Linked DNA regions of Tamandua tetradactyla. The protein of the gene in region 2 interacts with the protein of the main gene of each other region in a biochemical or structural test. Links are inferred from orthologs where the notes say so. Each region holds a gene or a part of one and is shown on either strand. Other genes may lie near its edges.

Region 1 (7,185 bases), on a different chromosome or scaffold from region 2:
CACTCTCCTTTCCATTCCACCACCAAGCCCTGTTGATTTTCCTTTCTAAATGACTTAGTTTGTCCACTTCTGTTCCCACTGCCACCACCCCGGTCTATTTTCTCGTTAGACACTCTTGTTTGGATGACTACATCAAGCTTATACCTGGCTTCCCTGCTTCAGAATTGGTCGCTCCCATTCATCCCTTAAGAATGCCGATCATGTGGAGAAATTGGGACATTTACGCACTGCTGGTGGGAATGTATAATGGTGCAGTCACTGTGGAGGACAGTTTGGCAGTTCCTCAAAAAACCAAATATTGAGTTGCCCTATGACCTGTTAATACCAATACTCAATATATACCCAGAAGAGCTGAAAACAATGTCATAAACCAACACTTGTACACCGATATTCATAGCAGCAGCATTCACAATTGCCAAAAGATGGAAACAACCCAAGCGCACATCAACAGACAAGTGGGTAAACAAAATGTGATATATTCATATGATGGAATAGTATGCAGCCGCAAGGTGAAATGAGGTCCTGAAGCACATGACAACATGGATGAACCCTGAGGACATAGCACTGGGTGAAATAATCCTGACACAAAAGGATAGAGATTGTGTGATTTCACTAATATGAACCCCCTAGAAAATGTAAGCTCAGAGTTTTAAAAAGTAGAATATAGGAAACCTACAGATAGACAGAAGTTAGAGAAAGAGGAAGCAGTTACCTAATATATTCAGACTTGTTAATGAGGTTAAACTTAAATGTGTGGGAATGGATGGAGGTGATGGTAATTCATTAGTGGGATTATAACTGAAGGTGAATATGATTGAAAGGGGTTGTTTAGAGCCATGTGTCCCACTGATTAATACTACAAATAGAAATAAGCTCTTGCATGAAAAAAAAAAGGGAAAGGAATACAGATCAGAGCCCAACAGCCCCACCTTCTCCGCCTCTTTCAGAACACTCTGGCTCTACCGTCTTGCATAGCGTGGTCCAAGCTCACCCAGGATCATCTTGAGCTCACCCAGGATCACCCTATTCTTCAATCTTGCACCTCATGGGCCTTAATTTTGTCAGACTCTTCTGCGATCTCCTACCTCAGGGCTTTGCTTCAGCTGTTTTCTGTGCCTGGAGCACAAGCCCACACCTTGCCTTGTTTAACATCTAGTTTGGATGTGAAGACAAGACTGGAAAAGTCGCCTTTTCCAGTTCTCATCTCTGTGTTCTCTGGAAACCTCCCTGACTCCCCGAGGAGACCACATCCCCCTGCAATACGTCACAGTTTAAAATGATACATTTTTGTAATGATTTATTAATGTCTGTCTCTTCCCTGGACTCTAAGCTTTTGGCAGGCAGGAGCAAAGTTAGGTTTTGTCCCTCTTACATAAGTTTTGACTTAGTGACAGCCGTAGTGCTGACTCTGTTGAAAATTATTAAATAACTCACTGAACTAATTAACAAGAACTGGTGGCACTCTCATTCAAAATTGATTTCATATCCCTCTGTTTCCACTGTTCCACTTTGCCCCATTCTTAGAACAGGAATATCGTTGAAATTAACAAAGCTTGGAGGAAAAAGGAAACAAGGAGGAAAATCACTTAGTGGGTCTCCAGGGCTCTGTCAAGGAGAGTACACCCACTTCTGGGTGGGAAAGAAGCTTCCAGGGCTGGGGGGGCCGGAGAGTGGAAAGGAGGGGCTTCCCGAACAGGGGTTGAACAGACTAGAAGCATTCACTCTCACCTCACCTCTAGCAGAGGGAAAAGATTGCTCACCAGTCTCCACAGAGCTTTAAGCTATATATAGAATGAATTTCCCCTCTTAAAGTAATACACATTATTCATTTTAAAGTAATTTCAGCAAGGGAAAGATGTTGTCTCACATACTTTGTGAAGATCCATAGAGACTAAAGAGACATAAATATGGTGTGGCATCCTGAAACGGGAGAGAGACATTCGTGGAAAAACTGATGAAATCCTAATAAAGTCTGTGGTTGAGGTAATTATCAACGTGAGTTTCTTAGTTTTCACGGTTGTATAGCGTATTAGCATAAGGGAAAGCTGCGTAAAGAGTATATGGGAATCCGCTGCATTATCTTTGCAATTTTTCTGTAAATCTAAAATTATTCCAAAAACAAAGTTTATTCTTTATCTTATAAATATAAAGACTATTACATATAAATTATACAATATTATATATATCCTTTGTGGAAGACAATTGAATGAATGAATGATGAATTAATATAGAGAAAAACAAAAGTGAAGTTGTTGGAGTGGCCCTGTGCGAAGAGGAAGAACATGGGGTCGTTTGTCCCTGCCCCTGACAATCAAGTCTCAGCACAGCTGGGCACACACACAGAGCCCAACCCTCAATCCCCATCTCTTGCTCTTAAGAGTCACCCCGTGAGAGACTGAAAATGATGTCATGACTCTATTTCAGCCTTAAGTGTAAATGACTATTCACACTGTGAAGTCCTGAAATAACTTGGGGAAGAGTAAAGAGCTAAAGCTCATTCATTGCAGGTAAGACCTCTGAGGACAGAAGGAAGAGGGGAGGAGTCACACTTTGAACACCAGGAAGCACCTACCTGGGATGATTAAAAAGTAAAAATTCTGCAAGTTTGCAGCTGCATTGAAAACCACTGCCTCCAAATCGCTTGGAAGTTGAGCTGAAGTCATCCTTTCCTCCTTTGGGGCATGTTGAGTCCCTCTCTGCCCTGATTAGAGGGTGCTAACAGCAAGGAACTCCCCCAGATGTCTGACACCAACTCAGGAAGTAGCAGAGTCTGAGCAAGTTTGCCCTCCCCCAAGCCTGTGGCCACAACGAGTGGCTGAGAACTCACCCTGGAGCTGAACCATAGTTGCTGGACCATTTTGTCTCTGTGGTGTCTTGGTCCTCTCTCTGGGCAGACCGGCGGATGACAGCTCAGCTCTGCTGCACGGTTATGCCTCTCTGCTGCTGCTGCAGCCAGACTTGCTGCTAAAGACAGCTGTTAGCATTTCCCTACTGAACAACCACAAACGGGCGATGTGAGTGGCGAATGCCTGTGTATGCTTTTCCTTCCGGTTGCTGTGAAGTGATGTTGTCTCCGTTTATTTCCTCTCTGTGCCTCTTCTTTATTTTTATCTCTGCCAGAACTTCTGAGTCGCTCAAGTTGTAGAAGCTTTGTAGTTTAGAGGCAGGTAAGAACTCTAGTTCTCATCTGCACCATTTTCCATTTTTAGAATGATCATTGATCTTTGAATTATAGTTGCGATGAAAGTCTGTGGAATCTATTTTCTAGGTGGCATGAACTCTTTTCTAGGCTACACTGAGGCAAAAATGAGACTATTTCCAAGCCAATCGAATTGGGAATTTGTGGTTTTTACAGACTCAATATGTGTCTGGGGCTTCTACTCTAAATTGACATGGAACATTCTTTCATTGGACAAATAAGTTCCTAACTTAACAGATTGTTGTGAGAATTAAATGAATTAATGTATGTCAAGCACGTAAAGGTGCTTGGAACAAACAAGTAAGAATTTGTCTTAGATTGTCAGGCTGCTATGTCAAATACCACACAATGCGTTGGCTTAATGGACATGAATTTATTGGCTCATGGGTTTGGAGACTAGAAGTCAAAATCAAGAACTCAGCACACCATGCTTTCACTTGGAGTCTATAATGGTCTTGTGCTATGTGGTCTCCTTGGGGGTCTTTGGCTTGCATCTCTACCTCCCATCACCTGGCAACCCCCCTTCTGGGTCTCCTCTTGTGGCTTTCTCTGACAGACTGCATCCGAATTCCCCTGCCTTATAAAGCCTCCAGTCATATGGATTAAGTCCCATTCTAAATCAGTTTAGCCTCATCTAAATAGGTCCTTTAAAGATCCTAGGCACAACTGAGTCCATACCTTAACGAATAGTAATATCTTCTAACGTCCTATTCACAAAGGGGTTCAAAGCCACAGGAACACAAGATTGCAACTTGAACACACCCTTTTGGAAGCATGATTCAATCGCCAACCAGCTCTATATGAGTTTGCTATTATGATTACTAGCAAAATATTGTCAGCTCAGACCTTTGCTTTTCCCATCCCTTCCCCATTTCCTACCCCTTGTTGGTGTCTAGGGAGAGTGATTCCAGGGTGTAGATGACCTGAGAGGGTCTTCTACACCACACAGTTGAAAAAGCAGAAGAATTGAGACGCAGAGAACCAGAGACCAGCCAGCTAATGCAAACAGCTTAGCACGTCCATTGCCAGACAAAGGCCCAGAGTCATCAAGAGTGCGTGGACAAGGAGATGGAGAGGAGGAAATAAGCCGAGCAGCGAGCCTTGGACGCATTACCCTCACTCGTGACACCTCCGTCCCACACCCCCCAACTCCCCCCAACTTCACACACCTGAGCCCCGTTACCCAACCTCGGCCAAGCCCCAAGCACCCCTGCTCTCGACCCCCACCCCGTGCATGCGCAGAATTCTGTCCCAGCCCACCCCACCTCTCGCACGCAAGCACACAGTGTTGCCCCACCCCTCCTGAGACCCACGTACCTGTGGTCAGCCCCTGGACCCCCACCTCCCCCCTGCAGGCAGTCAACTGCGCATTCGGGCTGCAGGCGCTCACCTTCAGACCCAGGCCACATCCACACTCAGCCCATCCAGTCATGCAACTCCACCCCAGCCCCCTGAGCTTCGTGCACGCGCACGTCAGCCTCTGGCCCCGCAGATGCATGCAGGCTCGTACTACCACTCAGGCCATGCCTCCTCAGCTCTGGGCAAGTGCTGACCTAAGCATCAGGGCCGCAAGCAGGCATCATCTCATGCCAGTGGCCCTGAGCTCTGCCCACATGCACACCAGTGCCCTGCTCCCCAGACAGGAGCATTTCAGGGCCCTGCCCCCCAGATACACACACCGGCACAGCCAGTTTCTCCCATGCTGGGCACTCACGTGACCCCTGCACCTCACTCCCCTTGCCTCATACATGTGCACAACCTTGCCCCACCCCACATGCCCTTCTCCCACATTTGGCAGGTCCTCTCCAACACATCTGTGCTACATAGCCTCCGCCCTGCACTAGCAAGCACCTGTACCCCACCCCACCTCTGCACCTACACACCCGCACCAGGGACCCCCATCATCACCCACCAAACACACATGTCCCGCAACCTCCAGGACCTGTACCCTGCCCCTACGCACTTGCACATCCACATCCTGGCCCCCCTGGACCTCTCTCTCTGTGCAAGGACACATCTGCATTCCAACCTCCTTGTGCCCCGACTTGTTCCCTGTATCCTACACCTGACACCCATGACCCACATGCTTCACGTGCCTACCTGCATCCTGTCCACTTATCAACCCTCATGCATCCACTCAGACCCCCCCATCTGCCGCCTGCTGTGCCCTACCTCTGTGTCCGCCAAGTTGCGCCCTGCTCCTGCACTCCGAGAACTGCCTGACCTGCACCTCACCCCCACAACCCCTGCAACATATGACCACATCACTGTGACCCACAGCCCATGCTCACAGATACCAGTGTAGAGTCCTGTACCCGTGCATATACCTGCACCGCAACCCATCACCGCACTGTTGTGGCCCTCCCCAAACCCCACATCTTGCTCTGCACCTGTCCTGCAAATACAAAGCTTGAGACTACTAAAAGAAATCAACATCCAAAGTAACCCTATTAAGATATTTACATGCCATGAAGACAACAGAAGATCACTAATCATATGAAGATGCAGACAGAGCCCAGTTTAATGACCAAATTAAAACATGGAGGAGACACAGACTTTGGAACAACTAATCAAAGATGTTCATATAACTTTACTAAATAAAATCAGTGGTATGGTTAATAACATAAAAGAAATCAAGAAGACACTAGAAGATTGTAAAGAGGAATTTGAAAGAATAAATAGAGCAATAGCAAATGTCACAGAGGTTAAAGATACTGTAGACCAAATAAAAAATATACTTAGAGACACACAACAGCAGATTTGAAAAAGCAAAAGAAAGAATAAGTATACTAGAAGACAGGACAACTGATTTTGAATGCGCAAAAGAGAAAATGACAAAAAATCATGGAAAAATTTGAATTGGATCTAAAGGAAATGACAGACAAAATGCAGCACACAAATATAAGAATCATTGGTGTCCCAGAAGGAGAAGAGAAGAGTAGAGGGCTAGGAAGAGTAGTTGAAGATATAATGGGGAAAATCTTCCCAACCTGTATAAAAGATATAAAAATGCAAATCAGAGAAGCCCAATGAACATCAAATAGAATAAATCCAAATAGGCCTTCTACAAAACACATACTTATCAGTCTGTTAAATGTTGAAGAGAAGTAGAAAATCTTGAAAGCAGCAAGAGAAAAACAATCTACTACATACAAGGGAAACCACGTAAGACAGTTGGAACTACTCAACTAGCACTATGGAGGCGAGAAGGCAGTGGTGTGATACATTTAATATCCTGAAAGAGAAAGACTTCCAGCCAAGAATTCTGTACCCACCCAAACTGTTCTTCAAAAGTGAGGCAAAGATTAAAATTTTCACAAACAAATCCTGAAAGAGTATGTCAACAAGAGTCCAGCTCTACAAGAAATACTAAAAGGAGTTCTGCCAGCTGAAAAAAAAAAAAAAAGACAAGAAAGAGAGGTCTGGAGGAGAGCACAGAATTGAAGAGTACCAGTAAGGGTAACCTAAATGATAAAAAGAGAAAGAAGGAAATGAACAAATAGATCTGATAAATAAAATCCAAAGAATAAGATGGTGGATTCAAGAAGTGCTTTTGCAGTAATAACTTTGAATGTTAATGAACTAAACTTACCAATTAAAAGATACAGATTGGTAGAATGGATTAAGAAATATAATCAAGCTATATGTTGCTTACAAGAGACTCGCCTTAGAACTGAGGATACAAATACATTGAAAGTGAAGGAATGGAAAAAGATATTCACACAAGCTGTAACCAAAAGAAAGCAGGGATAGGAATACTAATATCAGACAAAATAGACTTTAAATGTAAAGACATCATAAGAGACAAAAAAAGGGCACTGTATAGAACTAAAAGGGGCAATTAATCAAGAAGAAATAACAATAATGAATGTCCATGCTCTCAATCAAGGAGCTCCAAAGTACATGAGACAGACATTGACAAAACTGAAGGGAGAAAAGCCTGTTTCAAAAGTAAGAGACTCAATACACCACTCTCCTCTATTGAC
Region 2 (7,749 bases):
GGAGCATGTGTTCTGGAAGCCTCTAGCATACGGCTATAATTGCCAAACGCTGTGGCTGCTCGCGATTACACATTAGCCAAAGTATGCTTGTCATAATCCCCTTGGTCTGAGGGCTCCTTCAACCCCGGGCCCAGATGGCAGAGTGTGCCCCCACAAGCGGGATGACCAGGTTAAACAGTTCCCCTTGTCTACTTTCCAAAGCCCGAGTTTGAAGAGGCTACGTGAAAAACGCAGACAAGTTGACAAGCAGCTCCACCGTCTAAGGGGCTTAGCAGACACTCCAGTATCACTAGCACGAGGCCGCCAGCCACCTACCCAAGACGTGGCCTTTAGTTTTCTGCCCACGACCAAAACAGCAGTAGCTGTTGCCAAGGGAAACAAGGTGACCCAGAGACGCGGGCATGAAATCCGCGGATGGAAATCCATTCTGTCTGGATCCAACCAAGAAACTGGGCTTCCCTAACTGGGAAAGGATAAACAATAAAAATAAAAAAAAAATAAAATAAAAAAGTACCTTAGCAATAGATCCTTGCCAGGCAGGTAAAAGGTGCCCCAGTCCTTAAGAAGGAAAAAGCTCAGGAGCAGGTTAGCCCGAACTACCAAGTGTTGACACGGCTCAGCTTTGGAGGGCTTTGGAAAAAGAAAAGGCAGGCCAGAGCTATGCCTCTCCAGAGGACAAACTCTCACCAAGGCAAGAGAAAGCCAGGCTGCTTCTCCAAACTGCAACCTGCCCGAAGATTAAACACGAGCACCCTTATTAAAGGAAGCACCAACCCCCCTTCAGTCCCCCCACCCCCCACGTACACGCATAACAGTGATTTAAGCATTCTGCAAATAATTTATTCAGAACCTTCAGAGTACAAGGCAGCAAAAGAGCACCAGATATCTTTGCCCACTATGTCAAACCTTTTCACCTTTCTCCTCCAAAGTTTTCTCAACTTTAAAAATGAGAATCTTAAGCATAACTGCTTTATCTATTTTCCAGAGGGTTCTTTCTCCGAGAACCTCATAAAACCATGTGAAAGTGCTTTGTAAATTGTGAAACACTTTATATAGCTGCTTGTTGTTACAACTGACATCATTTCTCTGCTGTAGCCCATAAAGCATTTGTCCTTGATGTACCTCCACAAGTAAGGAGAAAGCAGGTTTTGCAGACCCCTCTCTAGGTCGGGGAAGGATGATATCTAATCCCATCAGAGGAATAAAGAGGAATTAAAAAACCAGAGCTGAGGCCAGAACCCAGGTGGCTCTGATCATCACATCACACCACCTCCTCTGAAGTCAATTCTAACTTCCAATCACACACCCAGAGCGCACTTCCAGACAGCACACCGCCTTCCCTCCCCCTTTACTGACTGGATCCACCCAGTTTTTTTAAAAAAATTATTATTTTTAAAGTCAGCACTCCCACCATATGTGGCATTTATTTCCAAAGGAGGCCTGTCCTGGGTTCCCTTGGACAGATGTTGCTTTGTGCCTGCCTGACCCGGCTGGCAGCCCCTGCACAGCTGCCCCAAGCAGGTGGCCAAGGATGGAGTCCACTCCAGGCCCAGGAGCAAGGATGAAAATCCCTCCCAGAATCAGGCCCTGGGGCTCCTCAACTTGTTCCTCTGCACTCCACTCCCTTGGCCTTGGTTCAGAATAAGATTTCAAAGGGGTCTGGGAGGGAGAGACAGGAGGCCAAGGTGGCCCCCAGCACCCCATCCCAATTCCCAGCCTAGCATAGATAAAGGGAAGGTCGTGGGGAGAGGAGAGAAGTCACTGACCCCTTTCTATCAGCCATCTGTGAGCTCCCGCCCGACCCAGCTTGCCCGATGCGGGGGATAAAGGAGGTCCAAACAGATGGCAAAGCGCTTTGGGAAGGAGGGCTCTGCAGGAATGCGAGGGCCGATGGAGGCCCACTTCGGGTTGCGTTCTGTTATCTGACCGGCTCTAGCCCGCTCTGTGTTCTGCTTCACCCCGCAATCTCAGACTGAAAAGGAGAGCAAAAGCAGTCCGGGATGGGAGAGGGTAGGACAGGAAGCCCCTACTCTCTGCCACTTGTCTCTCCCATTTGAAAGTCAGAGCACTGCACTGCAACTTAAAAGTGCATGCTTGCGGAGGGGGCGGGAGGCTGGCACAACCGAGTCTAAAAATACTCGATAAAAATGCTAATCCCGAAGGCAAAGAGAGAACGAAGAAGGAATCTGTCAATCACGAGGCTCCCGCTCCTCACCCACAGCCCCAGCTGTACGGACTACATTCCTGTTAAGCAGGAAAGAAGAGGGGGCACAGGACTGAGGGGAAGAAAGGGAGAGACACCACCACCTCCACGAGCGCGGGCCGCGGGGCGGGAGGCGGCGGCGGTGGCGGCGGAGGAGGGGCTCGGGCCCGCCGAGCCGAACAAAGCGGGCCTCAACTTCCAGCCCGCAGCAATCCGGGGTGGGGGCGGTCAACGCCAGCAGCCCCACCCCCACCCCAACCCCTACTTTCTGAGCGGCGAAAAGCGCACGTGAAGTCTGGAAGCGAGAGTGCCGTTTGAAAGCATTTCTGAATAACTGCAAATTCAGAGAGGGTTTTGCTTGGGGGTCCCCCATCCCACCCCCCTCCTGTCCGCGCTCTCGCTCCCCCCCCCCACACACACATACACACACATACACACACACACACACACACACACACACACACACACACACACACACACACCATGCCTCTCCAAACCCACAGAGCCGGCCTCTCCGCGCCAGGGGGCTGGGCCCGGCGCGCCCCCCAGGCCCCCCAAGCCCCCACCTGGGGATGGTGATGCACTTGGTGTTGACGCTCTGCGTGGTGATGGCCTTCTCCAGCTCGTCCAGCTGCCCCGTCTTCTTGAGCTTCTTGACGAGGCTCTTGACCGCCTTCTCGCACCACTTCTCCTCCTGCCCGTTCTGCTCGCCCTTCTTCCAGCCCAGCAGGCGCTTCACGATCGGGGGGGTGAAGGGCAGGATGGACGACATGGCTGAGGGGAGGCTGGGTGGGGGTCAGGGCGCGGGCGGCGAGGGGCGCCCCCGGCGGGGCTGGGCGCGGCGGGACGCCGGGGGCGCAGAGGGGAGCTCTGCCCGGCCGGCCGCGGCCGCCCAAACTTCTCCTCAACTCCGGGCGAACTTTCTGGTGCGCCGGGCTGGGCCGCGCGGCGCTGCAGCCGGCGGGACTCGGCGTGCGCCCCAAGCGGCTCCCACGGCTGGCAGAAGGGGAAGGAGGCGGGCAGGAGGACGGCAGCGGCGCCGGGTCGGGCAGGCCCCGAACGCCGGGCGGAGGAATCGGCCTGGAGACTCGAGTGGCTGAAAAAAGTTTGGGTTTCCGCACGGGGTGGCTGTTTGGGTGCCGCCTCCGGGAAGGAAAAGTCCGACCCCTGAGCCAAACTTTGCTCTCCTCGCCGGCTCTGACGCGCAAATCCCTCGGTCTCTCGCGCCTCGCCTCCCCAGTTTCCCTCCTCCTCCCTGCTCGCTCGTTCGCTCGCTCGCTCGCTGGGCCGGCCCGGTGCGTGCGCCGCGCTCCCGCTCCCGCCCGCTCCCAGTCTGTGTTTCATGCAAATCCGCGTGCAGCCTCCTTTCCAAACGCTGTCACCGCCCCCTCGCCGCTGGGGCTCCCCGCCTCCTTCTCCGCGCCCCGCCGCCTTCTCCCCCGGGCGCCCTGCCCGCCCCTGGCTCGGGGAGGGCTGCCGGCCTGCCCCCGCCCCGCGCCGAGCAGGCCCACGTGGGCGGCCGGGGACCGCGGCGGCCCGGGGCTGGAGCGCGCGGCAGTCCGCGCGGCCCCGACCCGAGGTCGGGCGGGCGCGGGTAGGAAGTCGTGGGAAAGGAACAAGAGGGGGCCCTAGGCGGGAGGGCCGTGGCGTCCGCTCTTGGAACCCTCTCCCGGGAAGCTCAAATGAAGTTGCGGCCGGGGGAGGAGTAGACCCGCTTCAAGTTAGCGCCGTCTGGCCCGGGGCTGGCGATGCACCCCTGGAGACCCGGGCCCGAGAGGGGGCGCACTTAAGGCTGAGGCCGGCGAAGTCAGGACGTGCACTAGGCCAGCCAGGCTGACCACGGTCGGGGGCCTCGCAGGCAGGCTGGGAACTTCTAAAATTCACTCACGGGTTCGGTCACCCCGGGTGAGAGCCCTAAGCCTGTGTGCGGAGGCGGTAGTTGAGGGGGGTAGAAGATGACTCTTGCAAGTGGAGATTTGGGGAACCCAGTGACTCCCTAGGCTCTATCAGGAGCCAGGGATTCCTTGCACCCTGTGAACCAAGTGCCAGACAGAAAATGGGTTTCAAAGACATGTATCGAGTACATGAAGGAGTGAATGGGGGCGCTTTGAAATTTAGTTTTGATATAAAAAAAAAAAAAGTACACATTACAGGTCGTTGTGAGCTCTTATGATAGAGAAAAAAAAAAGATCTGAAATTCGACACCCAATAAATAGAGGGTGAAAGAGCTTTGTTTCCAAAGCCTGAAGTCATAAGAAGTGGGGCAAATGGGGAGTACTCCAGAAGTTTATGTGTTCAGAGTTAGCCTTAGTGGAAAGCAGAGAAATACCGGAGGTATTGGAGAGACCTGGGGTTTTTCTCCTCACCAGCAGAATTCAGGGGCCTCTGACCACAGACCCCTCAGCTGCTTTCAGGAGTTACCCCGGTTCCCCAAGGCTATCTCCTTCTGTGCTTCCCCTATCAGGCTCATAGCCTTTGTTTGTTTTTAACAGCAGGAAACCCCCGTGGTGAGAAAAAAAAAAGTTAGCGGCAAACCCTCAAGCAGGTGGGGAGTTACAAAGCCCAGCGAGGTGTGGCCGAATCCTCAAAGTCAGCCCAAGAGCTGCGGGTTCCGCAAGCCGGTCAGCAGCTGCTCCTGAGCTCTACACTCTTGCCCCCCCTCCTCCCTACTCCCCACCTGCTTGGAGAAGCCCTGAGCTCCCAACTGAGGCTTTGCAGCCTGGTTCACATTGCTGGCTGGCCCTCCTGCTAACCCTGTGACAATCACTGTCCTCTTAGGTTCCACTCCCTCGTTCTCAGCCCTCAGTTTCCCCATACAAAAAGAGAAGGAAGGCAATCAGCCTTTACTGATTGCTTTCTTCATTCCAGGTGACTCAAGAGCTACCCTCTGATTTAATAATCTTCACAATTTACAGAACCAGAACTGGAAGCACAGAGAGATGACAATGCTTGCACAGGGTTCCAAACTACAGAGCTGGGATTTGAAGCCCAGGCTTTGTGAGGCCTCAGTCCGCATTCTTTAGCTGCCTTGCAGAGTGGTGGAAGAAAGCGACATCATTGATAGAGCTCTTTGCAAAACAAAAGTCCTTTACACAGGTGCACTGTTGTGACACCGCAAGAAATATTTGCTTACCTACAAAATGGGATTAGAAATAGCTTTCCGCTCAACCTCCTAGGAAGGTTGTGGGAATCTAATGTAAATTGCAAAGGGTCAAGTGTCATAAAGGAGTAGAACTGACATCTTGGGGCCTTTGCGAACGCCTTCAGAATGGTGTGGATGAGGGAGTCCAGTTCAGTAAGATAAGCATTTATTTGGCCCCTCAGTGTTGCAGTCCTTCTACTCAGTTCTGAAATGTGGAAATGAAAGTAAGGGTCCCTAACTTCAGGGAGCTCATGGTCTAGAGAAGCATGAGGAGTGAGGAGTTCCTTAGTTGGCAAGGATGGGCAAAAGGGAGGCCTTTGCAATAACCATCTCCCAGGAAAATGTTCATTTTAACCTGGCATCAAATCAAACAGGTCTGACTATTGAGAGGCAGCCAGGTAAAGTGAAAGGAGCTGAGGCTCCATCATCCACTAACCTGGTTTTGGATCCTGGCTCTCTCTCTCTCCCTTTACTGAGTGTCCGTTCTCTGAGCTGTAAGAATGGAGCAAACAGTACTTGCTGTGCAGAGGATCTGAACATGGTAGAAGGGCCTGACATGAACCTACCCCTTCTGGGAGCTCCCTCTAAAATCACAGCATCAGAAGGGGCCCTCGTTCAGCCATTTTTTCATTTTCCTGAGAGGAGGAAAAAACTACTGGATAGCTAGTTAGTGTGGCTGAACCGTGCATGCTTCCCTGTGCTTCCTCCCTCAACATGCCGGCATCCGTATGACAGGGACAGCTGCTGTGCATGCAGAAAAACAGTCCTGGACTGTGTGAGTCCAAGTGAGGCTTCTGGGCTCGTTCTTTCTGCCCTGGCCTCAGGTTCTCAGAGTTGGGAGAATAAGTCCGGTTTCACCTGGTGCTGAGCAGGGGTTAAGAATTGATTCCCCCTAGTATGAAGAGGACCTTGCGTGCTCTCTTTGCTTTTGGTGGGGATGGGTGGGTGGCTCTGGACGGTTGGGAACTCCGTTCTGGCGCCTGGACTCCAGGGGCCCAGCCAGGCCTGCTTTTGCAAAGGTCATCCTTGGAAGAGAAACATTAGCCCAGTTAATTTTTCATCATGGTCAGTGCAAAGTTCAAGAGAGGTGGGATGGGGGTGGAGGCAGCGACTCTGTTTCCCTGGGAATGGTTAGTCCTATCAGGGAGGAACTTCATAAGTAGACGTGCCAAAAGGTTTTCATGTATTTGGAGTGGCTCCCAGGTGGAACACTGGAAAGAAAAACTGACTTCGATTCTGATTATTTTTTCCATTAGCCAAAGGGTATTTATCAACAGATTATGAATCTAGAAAGAGCATTAGAATCACTCTCCTCCAGTGCAAGCCCCTCCTTTTACACAGATGGAAAGTGACATCTGGTGAAGAGAGATGATTTGCTCTATGGAGGTGAGTAGCCAGCTCAGGAGTAGAACTTTCATCAGGCTGCTAGGACCTCACCTAAGAAAGCCTCTGTCTGCAGCCTGACCTCTCTCTACAGCCCACTGTAGCACTTTGTGAGCTCTCCTAGGGCCCCAAACAGATGTGTATTACATACACTTCTAGCTCTGTCCCTTCTAGCTCTGTGATTTGGGGCTTGTTCTTAACTCTTTATGTCTCTGTTTCTTCCTCCATAAAATGGCAATAATAACACCTACCTCTGAGGACTGCTGTAAGAAGTCCACGAGATAACCCACGTAGAGAGCTTGGCACGAAGCATATCGTCGGTTCTCATATACATAGATGTGGTTGATGCCTGTTGTGGAATACAATGCAGAAGTTAGAAGCAATGGATTTAGCGTACCCAAAGCAAATGAATGGATCTTAAAAACTGTTCTAAGGGGAATAAATAAGACACAATTAAATAACAGTGCTACTTACGTAAAATATATATATATATGTATGTATGTATACATACACCCAGGAAAGCACAGTATACATTTTGAAAGAACGCATACAAGCAAAACAATACACATTGAACACAATAGGTGTTTGCAGGGGGGTATCTGGGAATGGCAGGCGAGGTTCAAAGGGGAAAATAAATGAATTCGTACATCTGTAATGATGATGCGCTGTGTACCGATGTGTATGATGAACTTAACCCTCTGCTTTAAAACAGCAGTACTAAAAAGCTAAAAAGTGCTCAATACATGTCAATCATTATATCAGTTTTCCTAGTTTGTTCAAAAGACAGAACCTTTAACTTCCAGCAGTTGACAGCCAATGATGATGATATCTTGTATGTAGAGGAACCAGTAGAAGGTATTAAAAATGCCTGCCCCTCGCAGCCCCTACACTTATATAGGCTTTGGTGCTGCCCCACCTGAAAGCTTAGGGCACTGAGGGGCAGGACACTAGCACTGCCCGTGGGTCTGCTCTATGCCAGCCTCCAGGCCACGGATTCCAGGGAATTGATCTTGGTTAAAGT

What was found. The genes of interacting proteins can lie anywhere in the genome.
Region 1: the proteins of SMAD3 (region 2) and NEDD9 form a complex in vitro, tested with the Homo sapiens proteins (2 studies listed by BioGRID). The link is inferred for Tamandua tetradactyla from reciprocal best matches to the Homo sapiens genes SMAD3 and NEDD9.

Annotation. Positions count from the first base shown.
Region 1 is NC_135351.1:14,456,207-14,463,391, forward strand, and holds the start of NEDD9 (enhancer of filamentation 1), read right to left. Parts: upstream 3,018-7,185; 5' UTR 2,828-3,017; intron 2,789-2,827; exon of another isoform or gene 2,573-2,788; intron 2,109-2,572; exon of another isoform or gene 948-2,108; intron 1-947. UniProt on the Homo sapiens protein: Scaffolding protein which plays a central coordinating role for tyrosine-kinase-based signaling related to cell adhesion. As a focal adhesion protein, plays a role in embryonic fibroblast migration.
Region 2 is NC_135340.1:84,247,177-84,254,925, reverse strand, and holds the start of SMAD3 (mothers against decapentaplegic homolog 3), read right to left. Parts: upstream 3,005-7,749; 5' UTR 2,976-3,004; coding exon 2,770-2,975; intron 1-2,769. UniProt on the Homo sapiens protein: Receptor-regulated SMAD (R-SMAD) that is an intracellular signal transducer and transcriptional modulator activated by TGF-beta (transforming growth factor) and activin type 1 receptor kinases.